Linked DNA regions of Arabidopsis thaliana. The protein of the gene in region 2 interacts with the protein of the main gene of each other region in a biochemical or structural test. Each region holds a gene or a part of one and is shown on either strand. Other genes may lie near its edges. The genes, in order: FLS2, PUB12 and BAK1.

Region 1 (7,051 bases), on a different chromosome or scaffold from region 2:
GTATTTGTTAAATCAAAGACACCAATTTTCAGATCAAACATGCCTGACGGGCAACCAAAATGGCTTCTCTCTATTATTCCGGGATACCCTATGCTCAATTTCATGCTGACAACTGCTATATACGTCCTTGTAAGAAACCGTAACTTCTTCTCTCCCCGTATTTTCTATTAGCAAGCTTTCTGAAACATCTCTATTTGTTCTTGTTCGCCAGGTATCTCACCGTCTCTTTGAACTAACCAACACACTCAAGACGGTTTTCGTACCCACAAAAGACAACAAGCGACTCTTCTCTAACTTCATAGCTGGGATTGCCATCGCTCTTCCACTCTATTGCTTCTCATTCGTTCTTCTTCAGATTCATCGTTAGAAACCGTGAGTCCCCAAATCATTCTCATTGGCCATCCACTCATAAAAAATCTAACGAAAACTTTGTTGATTTCTGTCATTTACAGGCAAAAACAAGTGTTTGTTCTTTGTGTTTCTTCATTGTGGTCGCATCAAAGCAAAGGAAAATAAGTAAAAAGACAAGTTAGTTTTGTTGATCATTTTCTTGTGCACATTCAGCTTCAAAGGACGTTCACCAAAGGCAGAACCAAGAACCGCATAGACCAACATCGCTCAACTACTTTTCTCTATTGCCATACAAAAGCGAAGTAATTGTCTCCGATTTAAAGTTTTCAATTTTTTGTGCTATATTCTTTAGATTTTGTTTTGTAAGGATTAAGCAAACAATATGTAGTTCGTCCAAAAATGTATAGTGATGTTAAAGAATTATATGAAATTGCAAAGTTTTAAAGAAGAATTCATTCTCAACAGTCACTGACATGGTTTTCTATCAGTCTAGTCTTGCAATTTCTGCGGTTCGCTAGCCGAGAATGGAAAACATTACCCGGGGAGATGAAAATGTAATGACTCTAGTTTTCACAGCTATTACTTGGCAAGTCTACACAATTGTCTTGTGTGGCATTGATCTTTGAGTCATCTTCTGTGTTCTCGATAACCGTCGTGAGATTGCCTATTGTCCGATACTAGCAGTGGTATTGTTTCATGATTAAATGGAAGGGACAAACGTCATCTCCATCATGATGACAAAAACTTGACGAACCTTATTCCTGATCTGCCTGCAATAAGAAACTATAGTATCCATGTGTAGCCTAATGCATTTGTATATGAAAAAGTTCATCAAAACCAAATTTCAACCTTATATAAAACAGAAATACATAACGAAAAGCAAAATCAGAACGTTTTACGTCCAAAGTATTCAACCTTCGTAACAGAGTTTGGCAAAGTCGAAAAAATGTCATCAAAAAAGCTTTGCTGCTAAACTTCTCGATCCTCGTTACGATCTTCTCGAAATGAATTCGCTTTGCCTCTAAGTTTCATCAGATGTGTAAGAATCTCGTTCATATCAGGTCGATCTTCAGGTCTAGAGCTTGTACAGAACAAACAAAGCTTCAGAAAGTCTTCAATAGCCTCTTCCTGTTTCAGAGAAACAATAGAGTCCCCGAGTTCCATATCAAGAACCCTAACCATCCCTTTTCTTCCATTTCCAATCGATTTCTCCACCAATTGGCGCAAAGTCATGTCTTGTGAATCTTCATCATTCAACGAAGTTGGTCTCTGTTTCGTCATCAGCTCCATCATTATGATCCCGAAGCTGAATACATCGGCTTTTGTTGTCACTTTCCTCATATAAGCAAACTCTGTTCATGAAAAATAAGAGTGTATTTCAAGTAAGTCGATGGCATAATTAGGGTTTTGAAAATTAAGTGTTGTGAGTAATTTACCTGGAGCTAAGTATCCAATTGTACCCTCGAAGGCTGATGTTGAAGCTGTGGTGCTTCCATCTTCGCGGAAACCTAGAATCCGAGCAGTTCCAAAATCGCTTACGTGAGCAACGCGGTCACTGTCAAGGAGTATATTAGCTGGCTTCAGATCACAATGAACGATGGGAAAACCATATCCAGAATGAAGATAATCGATTCCGCTTGCGATATGAACACAAAGATCGATTTTTTCTAAAAGCGACCCAATCGGTGCTGCAGAGCCGTGAATGGTGTCCTCCAAGTTTCCATTCTCCATAAATGGAAGCACTAAAGCTTTCGTTTTGCCGCTTTCCCACGCAAACCCTAAGATCTTCACCAGGTTTCGATGTTTTAGTTGGCTCAATGTTTTAGCTTCTGTGTAGAACCACTTGTCTGATTCTGCAGAGAATTCCTTTAGATTCAATACTTTTACTGCAATCACTGTCCCATCTTCTAGCTGACCTTTGTACACTGTGCTTAAGCTGCTTGAGCCAATGATGTTGGCACTGTTGAATGAATCTGTTGCTTGCTCCAACTCTTTTGGTTCAAATCTCTTCAGTTTCAGAGCTGAATCCAAATCCGGTAATGAGGACTCTGATGAATTTTCAATCTTTTTTTCTTTTTTCTTGCAACAGGTTAGAATCAGAACAAGAAGCAGGACAAGAAGAAGAGCCGCGGCTGATCCAAGAATAATCAGGATGACTCTGGTTCTCTTCGAGAAGTGGCTCGACTTCTGCTTGATCGTACATGGCTTGAGAGGCTTCTTGCTACCACAGAGATCTGTGTTTCCCATTAGATCAGAGGCGTTGATGTTTTTGAACACCCCGGATTCAGGAACATGGCCTTTGAGGTTGTTTGAAGCTAGTTTGAGATGTTTCAGAGTCGAAAGATTGGCGAGACTCTCTGGAATTTCACCAGTGAGATTGTTACTAGAGAGATCCAAGGAGACCAAATGCGTCATGTTCCCGAAGCTCTGAGGGATTTCTCCAGAGAAACTGTTCCTTGAAAGGTTCAAGCTTATGATCATATCCATGCCTTGGAAGACTTCATCTGGTATATGACCCGAGAGATTGTTCTGCGAAAAATCCAGTGTGAACACATTTTTGCAGGCCTGTAAAGATCTTGGAATAGACCCAGAAAAGAGATTGTTTGAAAGGTCGATTTCTTGAACCATTTCAAGCTTTCCAAGCTCCTTTGGGATGGTTCCAGTCAACAAGTTGTTTGAGAAGTTGAGGTAAAGCTGCATGTTTTTCAAAGAAGCTAACAGCTCTCCAGGGATGGTTCCAGTGAGAAGATTGTCGGAGATATCGAATGTGTTGAGAAGCGAAAGCGACTTAAGGCTTGCAGGGATAGACCCGTTGAATTTGTTTCCTTGAAGACTCAAGTAGGTAAGCGATTCAAGCTTGGAGAACAAGGCAGGAATTTGACCTGAGAATTTGTTGTTGGAAAGATCAAGAACTGAGAGTAGCTTCATATCAAACATTTCTTCAGGAATTGGACCTTCAAGATCATTTGAATACATCCTTAGCCCCTGGAGGAGAGTGAGATTCGACATCTCTCTCGGGATTCTCCCTGTGAAACCATTAGAGTGAAGGTACAAGATATTCAAATCTTTCAGATTCCCGATTTCTCGAGGAATCGGTCCAGTGAGAGAGTTATATGAAACTTGCAAAATCCTGAGTTTTTGAAGCTTCCCAATTAATGGCTTGAGAGTTCCTGTTAAGTTGTTATCTGCCACACTAAGAGTTTCCAAGTTTGAACAGTTGAAGATATCATCTGGAATTTCACCGGTGAAATGATTCCTCCCAATAGAAATGAACGTAAGATTCATCCTTCCGAAACCCCGCGGGATCTCGCCAGTCATTTGGTTGTGAGACAGGTCCAGGAGTTTAAGACCGGTGCAGTTACTTATGCTGGAAGGTATTGGTCCGGTAAGAAGATTGTCGTGCGCTGAAAGGTTCCGAAGGTTTGTAAGAAGCCCTAGATCCGCCGGGAGCTCACCGGAAATATTATTGAACCCCACCGTTAGGACTGTCAAGTTCCTCAAGTTTGTGATGGACTGTGGAAACTCTCCTGTGAAGTTGTTGGAATGAAGTGTGAGGACTTCAAGTGACTCAAGAAAACCGATTTCTTCTGATATCGGTCCAACCAAATGGTTTTCTGATAACCCCAAATGGGTTAACTGAGTTAACCGGAACAATGAAGATGGAATTGAAGAAGTAAGTTTGTTCTTGTATATCCGGAGTGCTTGCAGCTGAACCAAATTCCCTAATTCAGCTGGTATTTTCCCGGTTAACTGGTTATCGTAAAGCTCAAGTTGGACCAAGCTCGAGCAGTTTCCGATCTCAGCTGGTATATCTCCTTCCAACAAGTTTTCAGTTAAAACGAGAGACTGTAAGTTCAAGAGATTTCCAAAATCTCTCGGTATTTTTCCGGTTAACTGGTTACCACTCAGGTCTAAATCCGTTAAATTAGCCAGAGTACCAATTGATACCGGAATCGAACCAGTTAAATGGTTACCAGCTGCTACAAACATTTGGAGATGAACCAAATCTCCTAAGCATTCTGGTATTTTCCCGGTTAAGTTGTTGTAATCAAACCCAATCAATACCAAAGAACTGGTTTTGCAGATTTCCTCAGGAACATCACCGGACAACAAATTATTTCTAAGATCAAGATAGAAAATATTCTTAAGCTCCCAGATTCCAGAAGGAATCGAACCAGAGAAATAGTTTAGGTACAGAATAAGCTGGTTAAGCTCGGTTAACTTTCCTATTTCAGCCGGTATTTTGCCGGTAAAACTATTTGAAGTGAGATCAAGAACCTGGAGATAGGTGAGATTCGCTATGGCTGGAGACAGAACACCTTCAAGTTGCTTCTCCAGCAAGGAAACCGAGACTACATGTCCGGTACTATCGCAGGTGATTCCGGTCCAATTACAGTGTCGTAACGAACCGATGATGGTCCAATCTGATAATACTCCTAAAGGGTCGTTGGAAATACCATTCTTGAAGGATTTCAAAGCTTCGATCTCTGGTTCAAAGCTCTGTTTCGCTAGTGCAATGCCAAAGAAGAAGAAGGTGAGAGTTAATATCAAAAAGGTCTTTGAGAGTAACTTCATGGTTTAGACTTTAGAAGAGTTGAAATTGTGGAGAAGATATTATGAGAGAATTAATTATCTGGATATAAATCTATAGACGAAGTCATATGTTTATATATAAGCATATGCCGCAAGAAGATATAGATTTGAGGGATCATGTCACGGATGTGAAAAGGCCAAGACGCAATATAAGTTTCACTATTCACATAATTGGTAATTCTGTCAAGTTGCATATAAAGGCACTAAATGTATTCCCACTTCATAGTCATGCACATGCTTATATGCTTGTATTATATATCATATTCATTTAATCTCACAATGTATGTACTATGTAAGCCATATTCATGGGACCAGAATATGTAGTGACTACTTACTTACTAGTTTGTGTTAGTATCATTTTCCATATCTTATTTATGTAGTTTTTTTCCGATTTAGTTTTGAGCGATTGATTGATAACATATACAAAGTAGTTTTGACAAGGCGAAATCACTTTAATCTGCCTCCAAACGTTCTAGTCAAACTCAGATATACCACTAGAATGAAAACAATATGTTCTAGTCGTTAATTTATATGATTTCTTATAGTATATAATACATATGAAACTCACATTCTAGCTGTTTTTATGCTAAAAACAAACAAAAATGGAGTTTGAGAAATGAAAAATAAAAACCTTTTTGTTATTGGTCAAAAGAGTAGCAATCGTTGAAACTGAAATGATTGGTACTCAACATAGTATTTGACTATTGATTAAATAACATAACAATTATCATATTTTTTTCTTTCTAAATATTTGGTTTTAGGTCTAATCAGTTTAATTCATTAACACGTCTTCAAAGCTCTGACTATCAAAAGCTCATTAGCTGTCTTGATGGAATTTGTTTTATCAACAAGTTGTGTTCTGTACAAACAATCTGCCAAACATTTTATTTATCTTTCAACAAAAAGCAAAACAAAATTCAATTTTTGTTCAGATAGAAATATTACTCCTATGATCACAATTCACAACTTCTTAATATATGATTTATGGCTTTTCACATTGGACAAATGAATGGAAAAAAATAGGCGATTTAAAATAAAAAGATTATATTTTTAAAAAAGATTATGGATTTTGTATTGACTAATGACTATTGAGGAATCTGGTCATATATGATATCAGTTGATTTGGACAACCTCATCTTGACCCATTAGTATTTCAAAATTTCCATTAATTAAAAACAAAAAAAAAAATCAATTTTGTCTTCAAGATGCATGCACTGTTCTTACTTGGAGTTGACCCATATAATTCCATATCATGTTTACTTGAAGACTTGAAAGTTGACCCGTTAGACAAATAATGAATATCATTAGGTTGGGTCAAAATATTTAGAATGTCCGAAAAGGGTTTATATTGATTTTAAAATAAAGATGAACAAAGGAGTCAAAGAAAAAAACAAATTGACAGCTGTGGGATTTGAACCCACGCCCTTTCGGACCAGAGCCTAAATCTGGCGCCTTAGACCACTCGGCCAAACTGTCACATTATTACATTAAGCATGTGATTGTATTTATACTAATGTTTTAATTATTGAAAAGAAATAATCCTCGTCTTGTTGTTTTTCTTTTTAATATTTCTTAGAGCAAAGTCTTTTGCGTTTTGACTATATCTTATGGACAATCATATAAAAGTTATTTTATTTCTTTGAATTATTCGTATCAGTTTTTTTAATAAAATGTGAATTTCTATTACCATAGGAACATTGTTCATATATAATAACTTTTATATGATTACCTATGGTAATAGACAAGTCTGCAAAGATATAAGGAGATTGCCCAAACCGAAGCATTATCATGTGCCAAATTTCCTTTGTAAAGAGACAATGTAGAAGTAAGTGATTCCTTGTTTCTTCACACAGAACTGTTACATTGCTCAATGATAGATTTAACATTTAAGATGTTAATAGCAAAAAGAAATTTTTTAAATGGGATGATTGATTAAGGTGCTCGCGAGAACAAAGTAGATTATATACAAGAAGTTTGATCACTACAAGTTATTATGATTTGTGACGGATTTTCACTACATAATATTACTTAACGATATATATCATATCTTTACATAATATAACAATGTTATTAAATACGGCTTAGGAGGTGGTTAGGCTCTATGTAG
Region 2 (4,964 bases):
CTGTAACTGGTTTGTCTGCAAATATATGAACTCGAACAGTTAAACCACGTCCTATATTTCGTGTCATTGCTCGTCGTCCTGCTTCTATTTGTCTAGAAGTGATCCAAGCTGGTTCAAGTGTTTGAAGAGCATATCTACTACAAATATACCCCTGAGAAGATACTCCTTTATTAATTCTTCCTCGATGATGTTTCTGAAACTTTGTTCTTCTTGGGATATCGCTGATGGAACTCTTTTTTTTTTTTTTTGGTTTCTTTTCGTTGACGGAACTTTTTTGTTTTTGTTGTTTCTTTTCGTTGTTGGAAGTCTCGTGGACCTCTCTCACACGATTCACTCTCGCCGGAAGAATTGTGCATCTGAACTGCCAAGTTCCAAGAACCTAAACCAAAAGTGAATGTAAAAACACACGTTAAAAAGTTTTTCATATGGTGAATTTTTTTTTTTACCTGTCCGAAGCGAGAACCAGTGGTGTTGAGAAGGCGTTGTTGATTAATCTGTGGAAAGAGATACATCTCTCTTTCGGCTTGGTTACATGTTAGGCCTTCTAAGTTGTTAAGGGACTCTTCAAGAGTCTGCACATTCATTGTCACACTTATGAACATTATACAAAGAGATTGATAAAATTTCTTCTCAGGGTAATATTGAATCCGACAAATGAATCATAATAGGGTAATGAATTGTCGAACCACTCACCTTCTTGGGATTGATGAAGTCTGGAGTAAAAAAGGGAATCGAGGAAGTGGAATCAGAAGCAGTAATCTTCGGAAAGAAACGAGACATAGCAGGAACAGCAGTGGGAGATAGAGATGGTACAAGACTGAGAAATCCTCGGCTTATCTGACGTTGATGTTCCACGACGCGGCTAAACATGAATCTCTGCATCTTGCTGCTCTCAGATCTATAGAACTTGCTGCTCAAGCTGAAGATAAATGCATTTTTTTGTACATTTATTTTGCCTTCTTCTCCACGGCCAAATTAGGAAATTATATATTTAAGATTTCTTTTCTTTAAAACTCTAATAAAAAAAAAAGAAACACTAGTCTTGTAATTGTGACTTTTAATTAAGATCCGAGAAAATGTGAATTTCAGACAAAAGTGATTTACAGGTTTCAAAATCTTGGTTTTTTTTGTGAGTTTTTGGTTAATAAAGAAAAAAAAGTGAGCAAAATGTGAAAATGTATAAGCAAACCTTAAACACTAAACTCTCAGATTAGGGAGATTTGATCTTCCAAACCTAAACCAGAGTGTTGTTTCTGCTGGTCGTTAAAACGGCTAAAGCGGTTAAGTAACTGTGCCGCTTTGCGTTTTCCTCTGTCAGTACCATTCTCAGCCATTTCTATTAAAAGATCCATAATCCCTAATTTCTGAGCTTCAATCAAATGTTGCTGATTCCATGAACACAAGTGCACTAATACCGCAGCTGAGTTTTCTTTGTTCCGCGGTGACCCGCTTCTTATAAAATCTACCAGAACTGGAACTGCATCAGCGGCTCCAACCTCTGATTTCCCGTCCGGATGACTCGATAGTATGGCTAATATCGAGAGTGATTCATCAACCATTCCGCTTTCGGGTTCTGTTAGTAACCTCATTAGCACGGGAACTAAACCGGCTCTCACAGCTTTTCCTTTGTTTCCTTGAAATATGCAGAGATTAAACAGAGCAGTTGCCGCGTCTTTTTTGCCTCTCTGTGATCCTTCGCTCAGCAAGGTCACAAGAGGCGGGATCGCTCCTGCGGCACCTATTGTCACTTTGTTCTCGTCTATAACCGAGAGGCTGAAAAGTGTAGCTGCTGCGTTTTCTCTAGCTTCCATGCTACCTTTCTGAAGCACATGAACAATACCTGGAACTGCTCCAGATGAATAAACAATCTTCCCTTTGTTCTCTTGACATATCGAGAGGTTAAGAATCGATGTCACAGCGTGTTCTTGAGTCCGAGAGTCATTAGATATCGTGAGGAGATTCACCAGAAGAGGGATCGCGCCTGAGGCAGCAATGGCGACTCGGTTATGATTGTTTTGTTTTGCTAGAAGACGGATTTCTCCTGCAGCAGATCTTCGGTCTTCAGGCTGTTGCGATGTGAGCTTAAGTAGAAGTTCTTCAATCTTGTTATGTTCATCATCAGGGGCTGACGACGAAGATGAGGCCTTACTACTCGGTTGAGATATGTTGGGACGCTTTGGAGGTTCGATGCCATTGGACTCACACCATTGAGCTATAAGGCTTCTTAGAACATAGTTTGGTGTCATGATATCGCTTGTCAGCGTTTCTTGCGTCTTTGGACACGTCAAGTGTCCTCCTTCAAGCCACTTCTTAATGCACTCACGTTCATAAGTCTACACAGGATTTCAACGACACCAATCAAAAAAATTGAAAATGAATTAAAAAGACAAGTAAAGGGAGAATAATGCTTTTACAGTACCTGCCCTGAAGAAACAATAACTGGATCAGTCATCAATTCTAGAGATATTGGACAACGGAACTCTTCAGGCGGAATTAGCATATCTCGATCATCATCTCGCGACTTCGGAAGCGATGATTTCAGTCTCAATGGAGCATCATCCAAGTTAGGATTATAAGTTTGCACAAAGTCCTTAATCTTCTTAAGAACCATAGACATCTTCTCAAAACTTTCACCAGGATCATCACCACCACTAGAACTAACCATGTCAAGTAAAGCCAATGACTCTTGCGTAAGGTCAGTTATAGTCATCAACTGAAGCTTCTCCGCCACTCTCCTAACCATATCAGACTCCATTACACTACCTCTACCACTATAAAGAGATAGAACATCCTTATACAACTCATCATCATACACATCGCCACCGCGTTTTCCTAACGATCTTCTTAACTGAACTAAAACAAGCTCCACCTACAACAACCAGAAATGAATCTGAAAAGCTGAAGTTTCATGAACAAGAACAAAAGCAGAGCAGATAATGGTTTTAGTAGTACCTGTTCTTTAAGTTCATCTGAAATTTCCAGATTCTCATAAGGGATTATACTTAAAGCTTGTTCCAATAGAGAAGTCACTTTCTGAAATTTCACCATCACTTGATCTCTCTCCAACACCTACAGGAATCAATCAGATTCATATTTCGATTTCGATTTCAACTACACTCAGATCTAAGTATGTTTAGAATCGAAATACTCACACACCAGGTAAATTTTGCTAACATGGCTAACGAAAGAAAGCAAATCCTTAGCATGAAGAAGCGATTGCTTAACAGATAACAAAGCATTCACTACTTCCGAAGATGATTCCTGATTGTCTCTGATCTCTTCCAACATAGGAAGAAGAAGCGACAATCGCCGGGAGAGGTTAGCGCAGTGCTTCTTCATCGGTGTAACGGAATCGGAAATTGAAGCGATCTCGTTTATTGAATCGATTAAGGTTTGAGCTAATTTGTGTTTCTCTGATTTCGCCATTTTTTGTATTGGTTTAGGAAACACGCAGAGGGAACTGTTATTCTAGTAATCAGTTTTTTTTTTTTGGTCACGAGGTTTTTGACTCAGGCATGAAAGCTACAACTGTGTGAAGACGAAGACGAAGGAGTCATGGATTAGTCATGAGTCATAAACCGGCTCAGATCGGTTAGGCTAAGTCAGCAACATTATCAATTGCGATAATTTCGGGTCGGATTGGGTTGTTGTATTTTTTCAACCCAAAGAAAATAAAATAGTCAACTGGTCAAACAAGAAATACCAAAAAATGAGTCAACTGGTCAAACAATAAATACCAAAAAAAGAAACAAATTTGGAAAAAAATTGGTGATTGTTTTTAGTTAAGTGGTTAATGCCAGACTAATCCCAAAGAAGAAAAAAAAACAGTATTTTAGCTTAGTTTATTTGTGTTTGAAACATTCAGATTTTATTTTAACGTATAGCAAGCTAATTTGTATGGTATATTTCAAATATTTGGACTATATGAACATGGAGATTCACAACTATGTATCTTTGTGTTGCTACTATATATTTATACGAGTTTAGATAATAACATGTTTTGCTCTTTGGCTTACTCAATTCTCAGAGATAATTTGAGAAAACAAAGAAACATCAATAAAAATTAAGATTTATGATTATGAATGTACTACTTAATGTTTGATTTGTAACTTATTATCAAAATTTCAATAGTTTGGTATCAATATTGAGGGAAAATTTGTTTGGGCATAATATACAAGACATCATAAAATCATCTGTGGTCAAATGAAGATGGTAAATTTATTAAACGTAGAAAACAAACAAAATCAAAGAAAGATGAAATAACAAAATTGTAAATATATGCATGTTTGCTTATACATAATTGGATTTTGCAGTAAGAGATATTCCCACTATTCCTTAGAAAGAGATATGGGTTCACATTTCTTGTTGACAAACGACGGTTTGACTATCCTAGCTCCAATCAAAACGAGATAAAAGGCTAGAAAAAAGCCCAATGGGCCATAACTAAATGGGCTCGTTCAATTTTTGAGAAAAGTGAGAAACTTGTGAGTTGTGAGAATGATTTGATGATAGACCAAGGAGTTATGATTTGAACTTGTGATACTTATGTTTTGCCTTTTTTTAAAAAGAAAAAAAAAAAGAAAAAAACTTGTGATCTTGTTCGCCAGTACTCCAACAACACAAGTATATTTTACGGCATTAGTCGTTAATTAAATGACTAATCAAACTCTAATCAAAATGTCAGCTAATTTGGAAATTTTCTCATCTCATTGTGAGCCACCTAATTGCGTATAAGCAAACCCATGAAAGCAACTTACCAATTAAACATCTAATTAGTTATCTTAATCACATCTTAATCATGCTTCCCATTGGACAAGCATAGCTCTTATATCTTTTTGACCATTATTTTATTCATGTTAGGTGGAGACTACTTTTATATTTTAGATTAGTATTTTCAAGATGTCTTATTTGAATATTCATAATACGTCTACAATTAGGATCTCTCTTATAACATAAATTATGTT
Region 3 (7,255 bases), on a different chromosome or scaffold from region 2:
ATACATCTAACTCCTTTCTTGGAATATGATCATATAAAAATGGTTTCTTCCACTTGACTTTTTTTTTGTTACAGCTACTATCGAGACATCACAAGAACATTCATTGAACAAGTCAATCCGAAATTAACAAGTGTTAATACAAAATTCATGCAAAACACTGACTTTTGATATGCAAATCCAGATTTCGCACTACTAGAGACTATCCCCACTCAAAAATAACAGCTTTTTTGCTGTATCAAACAATGGTGGGTCCATTTTAACCACTGACCGTGATTAGCGAAATGAATATAGTGTTTACCAACAAAACTTTATGAACCCACAAATCAAAAAGCAATCACAAACCCAAATTTTGGATTCTCACAGAGCAATCAACAACTAATTGAATTCTCTTAATACTACTACTGTTCAGAACCAATCAACAACAAACAAAGCAAAAAAAAAGTAAACTTTATCAATGTGTTAAAGAATTCAAAACTTTGATATAACCTTGGATCCCAAAATGAGAGCGCCGCGTTCGAGAAAGAGCGTGAAATTGCTGGTGAGGTTGAAGCTTCCAGAAAGCCACGTGCCCTCCGGGACATTGAGCTGGGCCCCACCCTCCGCCGCAAAACCTTCAAGGTGCCTTACGGCGCGGCGGAAAGCGGCCGTGTTCGACGTCTTTCCGTCTCCAACACCGCCGAAATCGGTAATCGACATAACGATCCGGTTAGGGAACGGGTCGTGATTGAAAAACCCGGAGCAGGTAACAGGGTCGTCATATTGAGAAGTCGGGATCCAGAGAGGGAGAAAAGAATTGGAAGAGATTTGGAGAGAGAGAATCGCTAAGACGGTGAAAACAAGGAGAAGAAACGCCCACGAAGGTCTTGTAATGGCACTCAATACTGTGGTCGGATTCTTCTCCGGTTCCATTGTTTTTTGGAAACAGAGAGAAAACTCAAAAGCCCATGAAGCAAGCTCTGAGATAAAATTACAAACAGAAGAATGCTAAAGTGGGACTTTTAGATGGTTGGAGAGAATTATGCATGTGTGTGGCAATGATTAGCGTAGTGTGGTGGTGACAACAAACAAAGGTGGAGGAAGATAGAAAGTCGATAGATACCTTACCTCGAAAATTCGTCTCTCTCTTTGATTATTTTTGTATATATAAATAGAAAAAAGTAGTAGTAAATAAGAAAATTGGATACAGACACAGATATGTCGTGAAAAGGGCACTAAAATATTGGATGGTGCATGTGAATCGTCAAAAAGTGGCAAGGAGAAAGTGAAAGTCTTCACGAATTATATTTTGGTTTATATATAAAAGAAGAAGAAAGAAGAAGAAAGAAGAAGAAAGAAGATGGATGATACACAATCGGTCACGGACTCACGGGTAGGAAGGATTGTGAGGCGTTACAATCTCGTCAGACTTCCAAGTCTTAATCTGATGGGCCTTTAAATAGCCTACTGTACTGAGTTGTTTGTTGTGTTTTTGTTTTGTTTTTTAATGCCAAACTAAGGTATATGTCCGTATTTTATTGCTGGCAACATATACTCTGTCCGTTTGTGTTTTTTGTTTTTTATTTCATTTTTCCTCAAAATTACTTTTGTTCTTTTAAAAATATTAAATGGCATAAATAGTTAAACTATCAACCAGTAAATTATATATGATACAATAATGTTTTTTGTTTTGTTTAATTCATTGGACCAGATGGATTATTCAGCTTACATTTTTCAATATTGAATTGTAATTTTTTAGAGCTATAATCTTTAAAAAAGAATAAAAAAATCAAAAAAGCTTTTGCTCATCTTTGGAATAAACGAACTTGCTATTAAGACCAAGCCCAATAAACAATAAAAGCCCGAAAAAATAGAGCTGGGCCGGTAATTAGGATTATGATGATGGTATATAACTCACTATCAACTATCATGAGTTCATGACCATCATGGTTTATATCTAATGTCATATGATGGATGATGATAAGGTGGGCGAACATAACAAACATGATTCGGAATGAAGTCGTGCGTCTTTGACTTTGACTAGCTCTAAAAAAGCTTTGAAAATGCTCGTCCACGTCATCATCCTCTTTGTCGTTTTCTCAATCTTAAATGTCATTTTTTTAATATAGTTTTCACAGTACAACAACTCAACCCAGTAAAATCCCTTCTTTAAGCAAAGAAAATAATTAAAATTCGTCTTCCTTCCTTGCTCTCGGCGATAACTTGGTTTCTCTCCTCTCTCTCATCTCTCTTTGTTTCGACCCTTTTTTAGTATATTTCCAGGAAATATCTTCTTCCTCCTTTCGTTTTCTCTATCTCAGTTTTCTCTCTTCTCAGCATTAAGTAGTCAACGGTCAGCGATCTCGGCGTTCCTTCTAATCGGAAAAGTCTAGCTTCAGTTTCTTTTTTTTTTGCTTTTTTGGTTTCCGCGATTAATCGATTTGGGTATTTTGATTTTCTCTTCAAATTAAGTCAACGGGTGGATACGCGTTGAGAGGGCTTTTCTCGTATTCTGCTTCTAATTTCATCATCTTGGTATTACCTTGTGTGGGTGGTAGCTTAATCGAAGGATTCGAGATCCCTTTTATCAGGGGTTTTAACAATGATGGATTTTCTCTGATGAGGGATAGTTCTAGGGTTTGTTTTTAATCTCTTGAGGATAAAATGGAACGAAGATTAATGATCCCTTGCTTCTTTTGGTTGATTCTCGTTTTGGATTTGGTTCTCAGAGTCTCGGGCAACGCCGAAGGTTTCCCCTTTCTCTCTCATTCTCTTTCAATTTTTCATTCTTTCCAATTAAATTAGTTTCCCTTGTTGAGTATTTTGATTAGTATAGGCTTATGAGAGCTTGTTCTCACCTAAAGAAGGCATTTTTAACTTATCTGTTACTTGTTTTGCTGTATTGACTTGAGTTATATTTGGGTTACATCTGTTTCGACTGATTCCAGTGATTATGTATCCTCGTGACACTTGATGATTGCAAAGTTTGATTTTTTCTTCTTCTTTGGTTAATTGTAGGTGATGCTCTAAGTGCACTGAAAAACAGTTTAGCCGACCCTAATAAGGTGCTTCAAAGTTGGGATGCTACTCTTGTTACTCCATGTACATGGTTTCATGTTACTTGCAATAGCGACAATAGTGTTACACGTGTGTAAGTTTCTTTCTATATCTAGCCAAGATGATTCGGATTTTCGCATCTACTGAGAATTTACTTGAACTTCATTTTTGCTCAGTGACCTTGGGAATGCAAATCTATCTGGACAGCTCGTAATGCAACTTGGTCAGCTTCCAAACTTGCAGTACTTGTAAGTCATCTTTTCTTTAAAAGGCCGTCTTTTAACTTTTGGTGTATGTGGGATGTTAAAAATGTTACAATGTTCCAAATAACTGCATAATTTTGCATTATCATAGATTATTAGTTATATATCTTTCCGATCTTATGGTGAAATTAATATTAAAGAATGGTAATGACAGGGAGCTTTATAGCAATAACATTACTGGGACAATCCCAGAACAGCTTGGAAATCTGACGGAATTGGTGAGCTTGGATCTTTACTTGAACAATTTAAGCGGGCCTATTCCATCAACTCTCGGCCGACTTAAGAAACTCCGTTTCTTGTATGCACCATATTCTACTCTCTTCTTTTAATACGTTTTTAATAAGCAGCCTAATTATTGTCTTTAGTTTCCTTGATCGTGTTTGTCTTCCTGTAAAAGCTATTCGTGCAACGTGTTACATTTGTAGGAGTCAGAAAGTAGTGTCGCCAAATAGATGCTACGTTATTTTACTAGATGAAAAGGTGTTCTCTTGGAGACTAGGATGTTGTATAATATGGTCTATTTTAATTATGAGCTTTCGTAAAAGGAATCAGAACTCTATCCTTGTGTTCGCTTAATTTTACTGGAACAACACAAAGTTCCGAATTCAGGTGACTGTCTTTTTGGTTGTTCTCGTGTGTCACCTTTGTGATCTTCAATGGTAGTTATTGACTCGCTTATTTTGTATGAAATCGATTTGGTTCTGGAAGAATGAAATTCTATCAAAGATAACAATATTCTTCTGCCTTAGAATTTAAGCGCTAAACCCTATTGTTACTTATTAATTTGTGAGTGCTCTGTAAATCTAGAGGGTGAACGCATCTAAAGTAGTAAGTCGCGCTAATTAGGAAAATATACTTGATTTTTCAATCAGCTTCATATCTGTTGGATGAGATTTTAGAACAACCCCTACTTTTGAAAGTCTTTTAAAGTTTGTATTTTTGCTCTCACTATAAACTCATTACTGGTTAATGTATTTCCACTTATTCATGACATTCTCTTTTTGTATTGGTGGTTAGGCGTCTTAATAACAATAGCTTATCTGGAGAAATTCCAAGGTCTTTGACTGCTGTCCTGACGCTACAAGTTCTGTGAGTGTAACTTTATCTCTCTCAAATTCCTCTGTGTTCATGTTTCTGATTATTGTTTGGCCGATCTTGGCATTAAGTCAGAAAATGATATCATCTTATAATGCAGGGATCTCTCAAACAATCCTCTCACCGGAGATATTCCTGTTAATGGTTCCTTTTCACTTTTCACTCCAATCAGGTTTTGCATCCTGCTCCTAGTTTAAATCTTGGTGGAGAGGTCAGAATGTTTGATTAATTATTTGAAATTTTGCAGTTTTGCCAACACCAAGTTGACTCCCCTTCCTGCATCTCCACCGCCTCCTATCTCTCCTACACCGCCATCACCTGCAGGTTTTTTTTTGTATATGTCTTTGTCTTTGAAATGTTATTCAACTGAATAAGTAAACATTTTAAGCAGATCCATTAAGTATTAAGAAAGAGATTGTTCATTTCATTCTTGCAGGGAGTAATAGAATTACTGGAGCGATTGCGGGAGGAGTTGCTGCAGGTGCTGCACTTCTATTTGCTGTTCCGGCCATTGCACTAGCTTGGTGGCGAAGGAAAAAGCCGCAGGACCACTTCTTTGATGTACCAGGTTAGCTAAACTTGCTTTACCTGTTTCCTCATTAACACTTCTCTTGCTGATTTTTTTTTATTACCGTCTTTTTGCAGCTGAAGAGGACCCAGAAGTTCATTTAGGACAACTGAAGAGGTTTTCATTGCGTGAACTACAAGTTGCTTCGGATAATTTTAGCAACAAGAACATATTGGGTAGAGGTGGTTTTGGTAAAGTTTATAAAGGACGGTTAGCTGATGGTACTTTAGTGGCCGTTAAAAGGCTAAAAGAGGAGCGCACCCAAGGTGGCGAACTGCAGTTCCAGACAGAGGTTGAGATGATTAGTATGGCGGTTCACAGAAACTTGCTTCGGCTTCGTGGATTTTGCATGACTCCAACCGAAAGATTGCTTGTTTATCCCTACATGGCTAATGGAAGTGTTGCCTCCTGTTTAAGAGGTATCTCTCATCTTGTGCCTTTTTCTTTGACTGCAATATTTCCGTCCAATGGTTGCCTTTTTATCCGTAGTAATCTTATATTTTATTTTCTCCTTAGAACGTCCCGAGTCCCAGCCACCACTTGATTGGCCAAAGAGACAGCGTATTGCGTTGGGATCTGCAAGAGGGCTTGCGTATTTACATGATCATTGCGACCCAAAGATTATTCATCGAGATGTGAAAGCTGCAAATATTTTGTTGGATGAAGAGTTTGAAGCCGTGGTTGGGGATTTTGGACTTGCAAAACTCATGGACTACAAAGACACACATGTGACAACCGCAGTGCGTGGGACAATTGGTCATATAGCCCCTGAGTACCTTTCCACTGGAAAATCATCAGAGAAAACCGATGTCTTTGGGTATGGAGTCATGCTTCTTGAGCTTATCACTGGACAAAGGGCTTTTGATCTTGCTCGCCTCGCGAATGATGATGATGTCATGTTACTAGACTGGGTATATACATATATGAGTTTCCCACTTGTATAGTTCATTATCTGTGTTACCTCTATTTGTGTTAATTATTCATTTCGACAGGTGAAAGGGTTGTTAAAAGAGAAGAAATTGGAAGCACTAGTAGATGTTGATCTTCAGGGTAATTACAAAGACGAAGAAGTGGAGCAGCTAATCCAAGTGGCTTTACTCTGCACTCAGAGTTCACCAATGGAAAGACCCAAAATGTCTGAAGTTGTAAGAATGCTTGAAGGAGATGGTTTAGCTGAGAGATGGGAAGAGTGGCAAAAGGAGGAAATGTTCAGACAAGATTTCAACTACCCAACCCACCATCCAGCCGTGTCTGGCTGGATCATTGGCGATTCCACTTCCCAGATCGAAAACGAATACCCCTCGGGTCCAAGATAAGATTCGAAACACGAATGTTTTTTCTGTATTTTGTTTTTCTCTGTATTTATTGAGGGTTTTAGCTTCTGCTGCTCCATATTATTGGTTCTTAAGTGAATACATGAGGATCAGATTGGGTTTGTAAGTGTTATATGATGAAAAAGGATTTGAATGTTGTTGAAAGCTAAAACCCAAACATGTCTTAAGCTCACCACTTGAGGATTGTTGCGCACTTGATTCACAAATATGTATCCCATCAATTATTCTTTTTCACCGTGCGTCAGGTTTCTTTTCTTACCGGTTTCTGTGTTATCATGTGATTTCTAGATCCGGAGATTGTTCAGAAGAAAAGGAGACTTTTGCCTTTAAATAGCAATTGGACAAGAAAATGCAACCAAAGTATATTACTTTTTGATGGATATCTGAACCACACAAGCAATAAGTATACAACTGCATATTACGAGAGTACACAATTTTTACATAGTAGCCTAGAAGATTCATGATTCTTCATATAACAAGAGTAGAGAACTTATTATAAATACAAAAATCGTAAGTAGATGTGGTCTAGCCTAATTAATACTCCGACAATTTTGACGGACTTCACCTTGAGAGCCAAGTTTAACATCAAGATTGCTCATCTTGCGCATGGCCTGTTGGAAATCAAAGAAGAACTTGGCTTGGTTAAGTGCATAGCCGTTAACAAGATTCCTGGTCCTTGGTGTGTTGAATAAAGTTTGGTCTGAAAAGAGGACTCCTGATTTCATCTGAAGCGCATTGAAGTAAGCATTGTCGAAATCGTTGCGCGTAGCATCAAAGGGTTGCTCTGCATTGTCACCCGCGCTGCATGTTTTAGAGAGAGTGTTTGCAAAAGTCGAGTCTAATGAAGAGTCTGGGACGGTAAGTCTAGCCTTGAAGGAGGAGCATCGTGCAACTCCTAGGGTATGTGCTCCTATATATATATCCCCACAAATTATTAAGTTAAAACCAAATTAGATTATCAC

What was found.
Region 1: of the proteins of PUB12 (region 2) and FLS2, one has a biochemical effect on the other in vitro, tested with the Arabidopsis thaliana proteins (one study listed by BioGRID).
Region 3: of the proteins of PUB12 (region 2) and BAK1, one has a biochemical effect on the other in vitro, tested with the Arabidopsis thaliana proteins (one study listed by BioGRID).

Annotation. Positions count from the first base shown.
Region 1 is NC_003076.8:18,789,677-18,796,727, reverse strand, and holds FLS2 (Leucine-rich receptor-like protein kinase family protein), read right to left. Parts: upstream 5,154-7,051; 5' UTR 4,927-5,153; coding exon 1,788-4,926; intron 1,704-1,787; coding exon 1,321-1,703; 3' UTR 820-1,320; downstream 1-819. Other genes in the region: RWA1 (O-acetyltransferase family protein), read left to right, coding at 33-129, 212-367.
Region 2 is NC_003071.7:12,367,183-12,372,146, forward strand, and holds PUB12 (armadillo/beta-catenin repeat protein), read right to left. Parts: upstream 3,239-4,964; 5' UTR 3,207-3,238; coding exon 3,153-3,206; intron 3,070-3,152; coding exon 2,953-3,069; intron 2,870-2,952; coding exon 2,420-2,869; intron 2,334-2,419; coding exon 1,206-2,333; 3' UTR 1,038-1,205; downstream 1-1,037. Other genes in the region: AT2G28815 (50S ribosomal protein L16), read right to left, coding at 1-379, 447-572, 694-882. UniProt on the Arabidopsis thaliana protein: Functions as an E3 ubiquitin ligase.
Region 3 is NC_003075.7:16,085,674-16,092,928, reverse strand, and holds BAK1 (BRI1-associated receptor kinase), read left to right. Parts: upstream 1-2,151; 5' UTR 2,152-2,640; coding exon 2,641-2,725; intron 2,726-2,994; coding exon 2,995-3,127; intron 3,128-3,209; coding exon 3,210-3,281; intron 3,282-3,450; coding exon 3,451-3,594; intron 3,595-3,721; coding exon 3,722-3,862; intron 3,863-4,313; coding exon 4,314-4,385; intron 4,386-4,491; coding exon 4,492-4,563; intron 4,564-4,638; coding exon 4,639-4,715; intron 4,716-4,827; coding exon 4,828-4,959; intron 4,960-5,036; coding exon 5,037-5,378; intron 5,379-5,475; coding exon 5,476-5,870; intron 5,871-5,951; coding exon 5,952-6,275; 3' UTR 6,276-6,618; downstream 6,619-7,255. Other genes in the region: AT4G33440 (Pectin lyase-like superfamily protein), read right to left, coding at 487-909; AT4G33420 (Peroxidase superfamily protein), read right to left, coding at 6,824-7,203.